Neurospora crassa OR74A: one gene and its partner. Each later gene encodes a partner of the first gene's protein in a complex. Links are inferred from orthologs where the notes say so. Each region holds a gene or a part of one and is shown on either strand. Other genes may lie near its edges.

The links. Proteins that work in one complex are often made in the same cells at the same time.
Region 2: the proteins of rpt-5 (region 1) and pca-6 are in contact, whole or in part, in a cryo-EM structure (PDB 6EF2), measured with the Saccharomyces cerevisiae proteins. The link is inferred for Neurospora crassa OR74A from reciprocal best matches to the Saccharomyces cerevisiae genes RPT5 and PRE5. Residues at the interface, in NP_014760.3 of Saccharomyces cerevisiae: Asp373, Asn375, Glu378, Asp384, Asn405, His412, Glu413, Glu417, Ser427, Ser429, Val430, Phe432, Tyr433, Ala434; in NP_014045.1 of Saccharomyces cerevisiae: Arg18, Gln31, Gly32, Ser33, Arg51, Gln60, Lys62, Leu74, Ala75, Gly76, Leu77, Ala78, Arg164, Gln166, Thr170, Arg202.

What each region holds. Positions count from the first base shown.
Region 1 is NC_026504.1:3,449,967-3,454,660, reverse strand, and holds rpt-5 (regulatory particle, ATPase-like-5 protein), read left to right. Parts: upstream 1-1,502; 5' UTR 1,503-1,805; coding exon 1,806-2,116; intron 2,117-2,195; coding exon 2,196-2,611; intron 2,612-2,676; coding exon 2,677-3,311; intron 3,312-3,370; coding exon 3,371-3,391; 3' UTR 3,392-3,868; downstream 3,869-4,694. Other genes in the region: NCU04413 (UPF0132 domain-containing protein), read left to right, coding at 231-733, 807-968, 1,020-1,074. UniProt on the Saccharomyces cerevisiae protein: The 26S proteasome is involved in the ATP-dependent degradation of ubiquitinated proteins. The regulatory (or ATPase) complex confers ATP dependency and substrate specificity to the 26S complex.
Region 2 is NC_026505.1:4,357,721-4,362,002, forward strand, and holds pca-6 (proteasome component PRE5), read right to left. Parts: upstream 2,583-4,282; 5' UTR 2,110-2,582; coding exon 2,072-2,109; intron 1,953-2,071; coding exon 1,841-1,952; intron 1,735-1,840; coding exon 1,087-1,734; 3' UTR 916-1,086; downstream 1-915. Other genes in the region: NCU06711 (hypothetical protein), read left to right, coding at 1-88, 169-755; NCU06713 (vacuolar protein sorting protein 55), read left to right, coding at 3,033-3,285, 3,388-3,521; NCU06714 (para-aminobenzoic acid synthetase), read right to left, coding at 4,156-4,282. UniProt on the Saccharomyces cerevisiae protein: The proteasome degrades poly-ubiquitinated proteins in the cytoplasm and in the nucleus. It is essential for the regulated turnover of proteins and for the removal of misfolded proteins.

The sequences.
Region 1 (4,694 bases):
TGCGGGCAGAGCAACAGCCACTTCCAAAATACAACCACTAACGAGCAACGGCCGGAACGAAGAGACGATAACGAGTTACGGGACCACCACGTAAGGATACGATACATACCTGACACAAGGACACGCTCTTACAAATCGAAACGAGCATTCCAATAATCGCACACGAGATTTCCTAACCTACTACACATCACAACTGTCTCAGGAAAGGCAAAACAAGAACAAACAAAACAATGGACTTCGCACCTTACCAAGCCGCACCCCCGGAGCATGGGCGCACCATCTCACCACCCGACTCCACCTCCTCCCCACGCACATCATGGGACTACGGCCGCCGTTCTTCCTACTCCCCCAGCAGCGGAAACAAGTACCAACAGCGCCCAGCGCAAGTATCGCCTCCGCCACTTCTACACCCACAACCACATCGTGCTTGGTCGGGTGAGGGCATCAGCAGGTATCAAAGTCCGAGTGCTACTCCTGGCACCGCCAATGGGATCGGCAGTGGCATTGGGTTCAACAGTAGGAACGGCAGTGGTGGTGGAGGAGGAGGAGGAGGAGTAGGAGGAAGCATGGGCGAATATTTCAATGCGCTGGGCGCTCGAGAGGGGATGGTGTCCGAGTTTGATACGAGCTTGGGACTGAGGCTGGATTATGAGGCGTGTTTGGCGTATTTGGCAGTGCCGCCGCTGGGAGCGATTTTGCTGTTGATTTTGGAGCGGAAGAGTGATTATGTCAGGTGAGTGAAACAAGACCCATCTCTCGGTATGGTCGAGGAGTTAGCGTTGCTGACATGTGGAACTGGGGATTAGGTTCCACGCATGGCAGTCCAGTCTGCTGTTTACGGCATTGTTTGTGCTTCATTTGTTGATTTCTTGGTCGAGTTTCCTTAGCTGGCTGTTATTTCTGGCGGATTTGGCGTTGGTAGGATGGCTGGTTATTAATGCTTATAGGGACGCCGACACGTTAGACAGGTATGTCTTCCGGGATCCAAACGAGTGGACAAAAGCTGACTTGGTTTCCAGATACGAAGTACCGATTTTTGGGCCGATAGCAAGCGGGATCTTGGACGACGAGTAGACGACTGTGGTTATTGGGGCTCAAACGCATCAGGATCAGTCCGGCATCGTGGTTGTCCTGGGAGAGTTGATACTTGACACTTGACGAGAGGTGTGAATACGGCCTTCTCGTACTCTAATGTAATGCGCTGGTATATTTTTAGTCCGATGAGGGATGTATCGAATCAATTCCTGTGTTATCGAGCCGCTTCCCCGTAAGGGACTAGCTCAAGGGTTTTGGTCAACTCCGTTTAAGACTTCATGAACATCGAAATTGAGTGAAGCACAGCAGATGAATGATCGTGCAGTGAAACTCGACTGAATTGAAACCGTGAACCTGGATGGCCGATGCCGCGTGGTTAGTCAGCTGTGGCTGGTTCACTCTGGGGTCAGAGTGGGGTCTAGAGCTGAAGTACTATGTACATACTGTGGGGCGTTAGGTACCCGGCCTTGTTACGTCGCGCTTTTGCCTGCAGCCCAGCTCCTGGTCAACCACCGACAGCACTCGAAGCTCTGTGCCGCATGTCGACCACGCAACTGCCACCATCCACGCAGCACTGCACTACAAGCACGACCGCCGGTCTCCCAACCACAACGCAAACAACGGCGATTTTCATCACTAACCACCACTACTACTCCACGTCGTCGTTTCAAATTCCGTGGAGATTACATACAGAGGATCAGTAACCCGATCTCTGCGCCCTTGCGACTTTCCCTACCGATACCCCACATTCGCACCCGTCTGCGTCAGCCATGTCGACCCTTGAGGAACTCGACGACCTCGATCGCCGTGAGCGCGAGGACAAGAAGAAGGATCAGGACAAGGATAAGAACAACAAGAAAGAGGGAGATGGCGATGCCGAGATGAAGGATGCCGAGCCCGAGGCCGATGACATCCTAGATGAGGAGATCCTGAGTTTGAGCACAGAGGACATCCTGATGCGGAAGCGCCTCCTCGAGAACGATGCCAGAATCATGAAGAGCGAATACCAGCGGTTATCACATGAGAGGGCTACCATGAAGGACAAGATCAAGGAGAACCAAGAAAAGATTGCCAACAACCGGTAAACATTCCCCCTACACTCCCCTAAGGTTTGCCTTCAGTAGCCGCGAAACCTCCCCTACTAACGCTGGCCTCATCAGACAACTTCCGTATCTCGTAGGAAATGTCGTTGAACTTTTGGACCTTGACCCGACCGCCGAGTCCTCCGAAGAGGGCGCCAACATCGACTTGGATGCCACGCGCGTGGGTAAATCGGCAGTCATCAAGACATCGACCAGACAGACCATCTTTCTCCCTCTCATCGGCTTGGTCGACCCCGAGAAGTTGAAGCCCGGCGATCTCATCGGTGTTAACAAGGATTCGTACCTTATTCTGGATACGTTGCCCGCCGAGTACGACAGCAGAGTCAAGGCTATGGAGGTCGACGAGAAGCCTCAGGAGAAGTACACAGATGTCGGTGGTCTCGACAAACAGATTGACGAACTTGTCGAGGCTATTGTGTGGCCTATGAAGGAAGCCGAACGGTTTAAGAAGATCGGTATCAAGGCGCCCAAGGGTATGTCTTCACCAAGATGGAGCAGAAACTCGCTGCTGTGGTATTGCTGCTAACTTCAGGAATAGGAGCTTTGATGTACGGACCTCCCGGAACAGGCAAGACTTTACTTGCCAGAGCTTGCGCCGCTCAGACAGATGCCACATTCCTCAAGCTTGCTGGCCCCCAGCTAGTGCAGATGTTTATCGGAGACGGTGCCAAGCTCGTAAGGGACTGCTTCGCCCTAGCAAAAGAGAAGGCCCCGTCAATTATCTTCATCGACGAGTTGGATGCCGTCGGTACCAAGCGTTTCGACAGCGAGAAGTCCGGCGATCGTGAAGTCCAGCGAACCATGTTGGAGCTCCTCAACCAGCTCGACGGTTTCGCTTCTGACGACCGTATCAAGGTTCTCGCCGCGACGAACCGTATCGACGTCCTCGACCCCGCTTTGCTTCGTTCCGGTCGTCTTGACCGCAAGATCGAGTTCCCTCTTCCGAACGAGGAGGCACGCGCACAGATTCTCAAGATTCATTCCAGGAAGATGAAGGTCAACCCCGGCGTTAACTGGGGCGAGTTGGCGCGCAGCACGGATGAGTTTGGCGGTGCCATGCTGAAGGCTGTGTGTGTCGAGGCTGGCATGATTGCCCTCCGTATGGGCAAGAATCAGATTGGACACGAACACTACGTTGACGCTATTTCTGAGGTGCAGGCCAAGAAGAAGGAAGTGAGTATTTTCCCCAAGACAACCAATGCTTGTGTGCTGCTTACTGACCACGCGTTCAGACCGTCAACTTCTACGCTTAATGTTATTGCATTTCCTACCGTACTGAAAGCGACGACCGAACTACGGCAAACAGCAAGGTCATGGACGGTTCATAGAAATTTGGCATGCAATAGAGCTAGCGTTGGGTTGGGCATGTCTTGTATCATAATGAAGCGTTTTACCCCGATGACTTGCCATGCCATCCAAATTCTCGATAACCCAGAGGCTTGATGACTCTGATGAACAATGTTTGCTGGCCTTCTTGTTAACTTACTGTTACGTTGCCTACCCGATACTCTCATTCTAGAGGGTGAAACGGTTTCCAGTCCGCCGGTTTCGCTGCCCCGATATTGTCCTGGTAAAACTGAAATGTTAAGTATAGCATCAAACAGATTTCACGGGTTTCCGTATGTGGTCCGTTGACAATGTGACCACCTGTTGTTTGATTTTGATCATTCTTCAATATCATCTTGCATTTCGTCCTTGAGTTGCTACACCAGTGGTTTGCTGCTTCTACGACGACTCATTTATTGATTTTCGAGCGGGTCTTCCATAGTGTGGATTTACTTACCTTTTTTTCGTGGCTCAAGATGTGAACTGTACAAAGTACAACCGATTGCAACTCGCTCCTGATGATCCAAAGCTTGGTCCTCAAAACTAAACCGATCAAGACCTGCAGCTTGAATGAAGATCCAGGTGTCGGTCGTCTGCCAGAAAGATCTCTCATGGTTCAAACACTGACTTCGAATTTTCACCATATTTTTCAGAATTCCGCATGATTCTGGCATCCGCGTTAGAGCACCATCCCTCATAGTTGGTATCCGACAAACCCGAAGTACTCCGTTAGAACAACACAACCACTCTTCCTCTTCGCTACCGCCAATACGTAGCATATCAAATATTGGAACGACCAAAACAGAATATCACTATAGGACGCCAGGGGGGTTCTGTGAAAACGACCCTCGAAATGCTCTAGTAACCTTAACTTTTGTCAATTGTGAAGGATTGTGGTTCAACGATGCTCGAGCGAACATCTGCCTCGCTGAGGAGTTCAGTGCAAGATGTGCCCTGGCATGCATCAATATCAGTCCATCCCGTTATTCCTGCCGAGTACAGACATCTTTTGAGACACTTGACAGTTCCCTGCACAGGTGACTGCAGAGCATAACGTGGCATCTCGATATCGGATGATCTCTCAAACGGCCCTGAATTCTGCAAGCGTTGAAAGGTGAACCGAGATGAGTGGTGACTGAAACGGTGGTCGCAAATCCTCACAGCATCACACTCGGCTACCCGTCAGGGTTCCCCCTCCCCAACGAATATCAAACCTTATTTCCGCAGTTC
Region 2 (4,282 bases), on another chromosome or scaffold:
TGCGGCGCATCCGCCGGCAACAACCCCATCTACCTCGAAGCCGCGCGCCAGCTCGCCCGTAGCATGGCCGCCAACAACATTGACCTCGGTACTGACTTACTTCTCCTACCCAAACACTACTACTGCTACTACTACTACTGGAACTCCTCACTAACAGCAAAGTCACAGTCTACGGTGGTGGCACAGTCGGTCTCATGGGCGAAATCGCCAAGACCCTTGTTTCCCTGTCCGGCCCTGACTCCGTCCACGGCATCATCCCCGAGGCTCTGGTCCGGTACGAGCGCGACCCTCACTACACGTCCACCCAGGTGAGCGGCGGCCAGAAGGATTCCGCTGCCGACGAGGAGGCAAAGGCCAAGAAGCTTCCCGTCCCTGATGAGAACGTCTTTGGCCGAACGACCATCGTCAAGGACATGCACACGCGCAAGATGATGATGGCGCAGGAGGTGTTAGCGGGCGGCCCCGGATCGGGCTTCATCGCCCTGAGTGGCGGCTACGGCACCATGGAGGAGCTGTTCGAGACGGTGACGTGGAACCAGCTGGGCATCCACGACAAGGGCATCGTCCTGCTCAACATCAACGGCTTTTATGACGGTATTCTGCACTGGATCCAGAACAGCATCCAAGAGGGATTTGTGAACCAGGCGAATGGAAAGATCATGGTGGAGGCGAAGAACCCGGAGGATGCAATCAAGGCGCTGAGGGAGTATAAGGTGTCCGAGGCGGTTTTCAAGCTGAACTGGAGTGATGAGTAGGCATGGGGGGTAGGAGACGAGGGAAGATCGTTTGCTTGAGGTTTCCCTTTCCTGCTTGGGAAAGCAGTTGCTGTTACCTTGCATCGCGCAGCTTCTTTCTGGATGGACGACGGCGTTCAGGGGTCCTGTTTCTCAGGCTGGGCCATCATTCTAAAGCTCTTAGTGTACCAGTTTGCTTGATCGGTGGGATTCGCGTCATGATGTCAGTAGACACAAAACAATGCATTAACATAAAGGGGACTTGTTCATCTCATTACTTCATTCCGGGTGTATGCGCTCCATGTGCTAAATCTGCACCTATGCCTCAAAGCAAACCCCACATTTTCAACCTTTAGCTATCGACATCCATACCCTCGCCCTCGGCAGCTGCCGGGGCAGCCTCTTGGTTATCCGCCACACTCTCTATCCATGCGCTGACGTCTTGTCCATCGTACACCATGAATGGCTGCGGCTTGGTCGTGCCGTCCTCCTGCTTCTCGACACCCACAATGGCGACGCTGGTATTGTCGATGGTCAACTCGCGGTCTTGCACCAGGCTCTCCTTGAGCGCCTTGAGACCATGACGAATCAGCTCCTCGCGGCCGCAGTCGGCAAAGGCCTCTAGGTTCTTCTCCAAATATGTGCGCGCCATCTGGCTGCGGGCGCCAATGGCAAAGGCCACCATCTCCTCGGTCATGCCGCTGGGCTGGAACTCGAAAAGGTGCGGGCCGTGGTCGTCAACGCCGGCGACCAGGAGACCGACACCGTAGGGCCGCTTACCGTAGTGTTGCGTGTTGATCTGCGCCTTGGATCCGATCATGTCGACAAGGGTCCGCACGGGCATGTTGCGGCCGTACGTGAGGCGGTGGCCGAGGGACTGCTGCTTCATGAAGTTGGAGAGGACGCGCGCGTCCGAGGTGAGGCCGGCGATGGCGATGCCGACATGTTCGTCGATGGGAAAGAGCTTCTTTTGGTACGATGAGAGTTCTTCGGCGTTACGCTGGACAAAGTGACAGGAACATGGTCAGCTTCACTTGGCCCTAGGATGGATGGGAGGATACATGTATCGGCAGGGTGGTGCGCGAGGGGTGGTCGGGGCGAAGTACCTTGATCGCTACCAGGACGGCGTGTGTCTTGCTAGCAATTCCCACCACCACCGAACCCTGCTTTACTGCTTCCGCCGCATATTCGACCTGGAAAATTCGCCCTTGCGGAGAGCTGGAGGGAAAGCAGTTGTTAGCTGAATGTCGAGGGCAGACCTCGTCAAGTGCAGAGCTTTGGGCGTTTGGAAGCAGGGCCCCCAGTCTAGCTGGCGGCTGCGGGACAGCTTCGCTTACAATGTGACCGAGTCGTTGTCGTAGTTGTTCCTGAACATGGCTGCTGGACACCTCTATCGAGGAGACTGGGAAACAAGAGCAGATTGCGGCGGGGGTATCGGGGATTTTTGCCGGCAAGTATCTCGTCGGTTTCTTCTGGCGGGTGTTTGGAGGACGCGAAAGATTGTTGTTTGTGCTGATAGTGACGATGGTGGTGGTGTAGAGGTAGTCTGGGTGGGATGGATGGGGGGAGGTCAGTGGACAGTGGTTGCTTCCTCCCGCGGGCAGTTGCGCAGGCAGCTCCTAGCTTCGTCAGGTCCCGCCGCCCAGGCAATGAGGATGGATGTTGGGTGACGGAGGGCGGGAACAGGCAACGCGCGGGCGGGCAGGCAACTGGTACGTCGCTGCAGGTACCTCCCTTGCCCGCCAAAAGAAAGTCAGACCCACTTTTGCTTGTACTCACCTTATAGGACTTGTAGTGTAAGTGCGGGCGGCCAGGTGCGCGCTACATAGGTAGAGGTAGGTATGGAACGGAATGCGCTGAGCGAGAGCCAGGAAGAGGCTGACTGACGACAGCCAAAGCGTCAGTGCGGGCAGTCGTCACTTGTTCCCGCTCGCTGGAGCTCCTCCAACGACACGGGCAACTCTCCACCACAACCTGGAAGCACACTGCATCACCACCATCACGAGTTGTCGCCTGCTACAGCAACGAATCGACGAAGCGCGCAAGCCGAGTAACCCACGCGATAGTTTGTCAGGTTCTCGATCACAAAAAACAGCAGGCAGCGCTTACACTACATTTCCATCGATTACCAGTTAGCCACGTCTGCGCAACAAACACCTTTGATCCCGGCAGGCCCGCGACACTCCGACTCTACCTGGGCAGATTCTCCGGGTTACCGGCGTAAACGACGCCCTGATTTCAACTGTGCCCAAAACTTGAACGCCTTCGCAACCAGAAGCTTTCACATATCCACCCGAGATGGCAGCAGGACTCAAGACCATCATCGCGCTCTCCTTCGTCTTGGCGGTGGGCTTCCTCCTCGTCATCTTGTCATGCGCACTATGGAAGGCATACTACCCGCTGCTGGTGGTGGCCACCTACGTGTTGGCGCCCATACCCAACTGGATCTGCAGCCATTGCGCCAATCCGGACGACTTTGTTGAGAGCTCGGGCGCTGCGGTGTTGGATCTGGGTCGCTTCTGCACTGGTTTCCTGGTCATGATGGGACTTGGTAGGTTTACTCCTCCATCTTGTGGCTGGCGTGTATCCTGTGTTTGTGTTGTGTTGCATGTACGGTAGCTGACATCTCTCTCCTCCCCTCTTCGACAAACAGCTCTTCCAGTTGTTCTCGCAAACTCGGCCATCATCACGGTCCCGGCCATGATCATGTCCGTTATCGGTGGCCTGTTGATCTATGGCACCATTATCAGCTTCGCCATGTTCTTCCAGGAAGAGCAAGACTTCTGACTAGCCGACCAATAATTTCGACTACGACAGAATGGTCCAGAGTCTGAGACACACACAACAATGACACAGAACTACAAAGAGGTAGCGACTTCCGAACAACGGTTGGGTGCGGAACCGATTTACGCATGGTGGGAGACCATGATTGTACAAGTGCCGGGACTTGAGCCGGATGACAGCTATGGGATATGATCAAATGGGTTTCGGGAAAGAGGCGGGCACTGGCTGATGAAGCGCTTATGGGCTGGGCTGGATTTGGATTATTACGAGACAGTTATGGGGTTATTTTATGCCGTGATCAATCATCTAGCGAGAGGGCTTGACGTCTTCTTTCTCTCCACTTGCAATGCTTCGCGTTGAAAAGTCTACTTTCTAATCCCGCCGTAAGGTATGCATCCGTTGAGCTAATATAACAGCCACAAAACTCCAACCCATTTTAACCTTGACACCAAGACGACACCCTAGATATGTTGGATATCGTGTTCTTCTAACCCTAACGCACGCTTGGGCCCAAAATGATGAAGTTATCTTGCTTTTGTTTCACGTCTTCCCTTTCTTCCACAGCCTCTGGCCGCAGACCAGCTCTGCTCGCCATAGAACCCCCCCTCACCCTCTGTCTCTCACCAATTCATCGAGTCTAACCCAGCTCCGCAAACACCTTCAACGGCCCAGCGAGTTTCGTAAACATTTCCTCCCGCTCACCCTCAGGGGTACTCAGAATGGTAACCGCTCCTCCAGCGCCAATATGCCACACCTCATGTTCT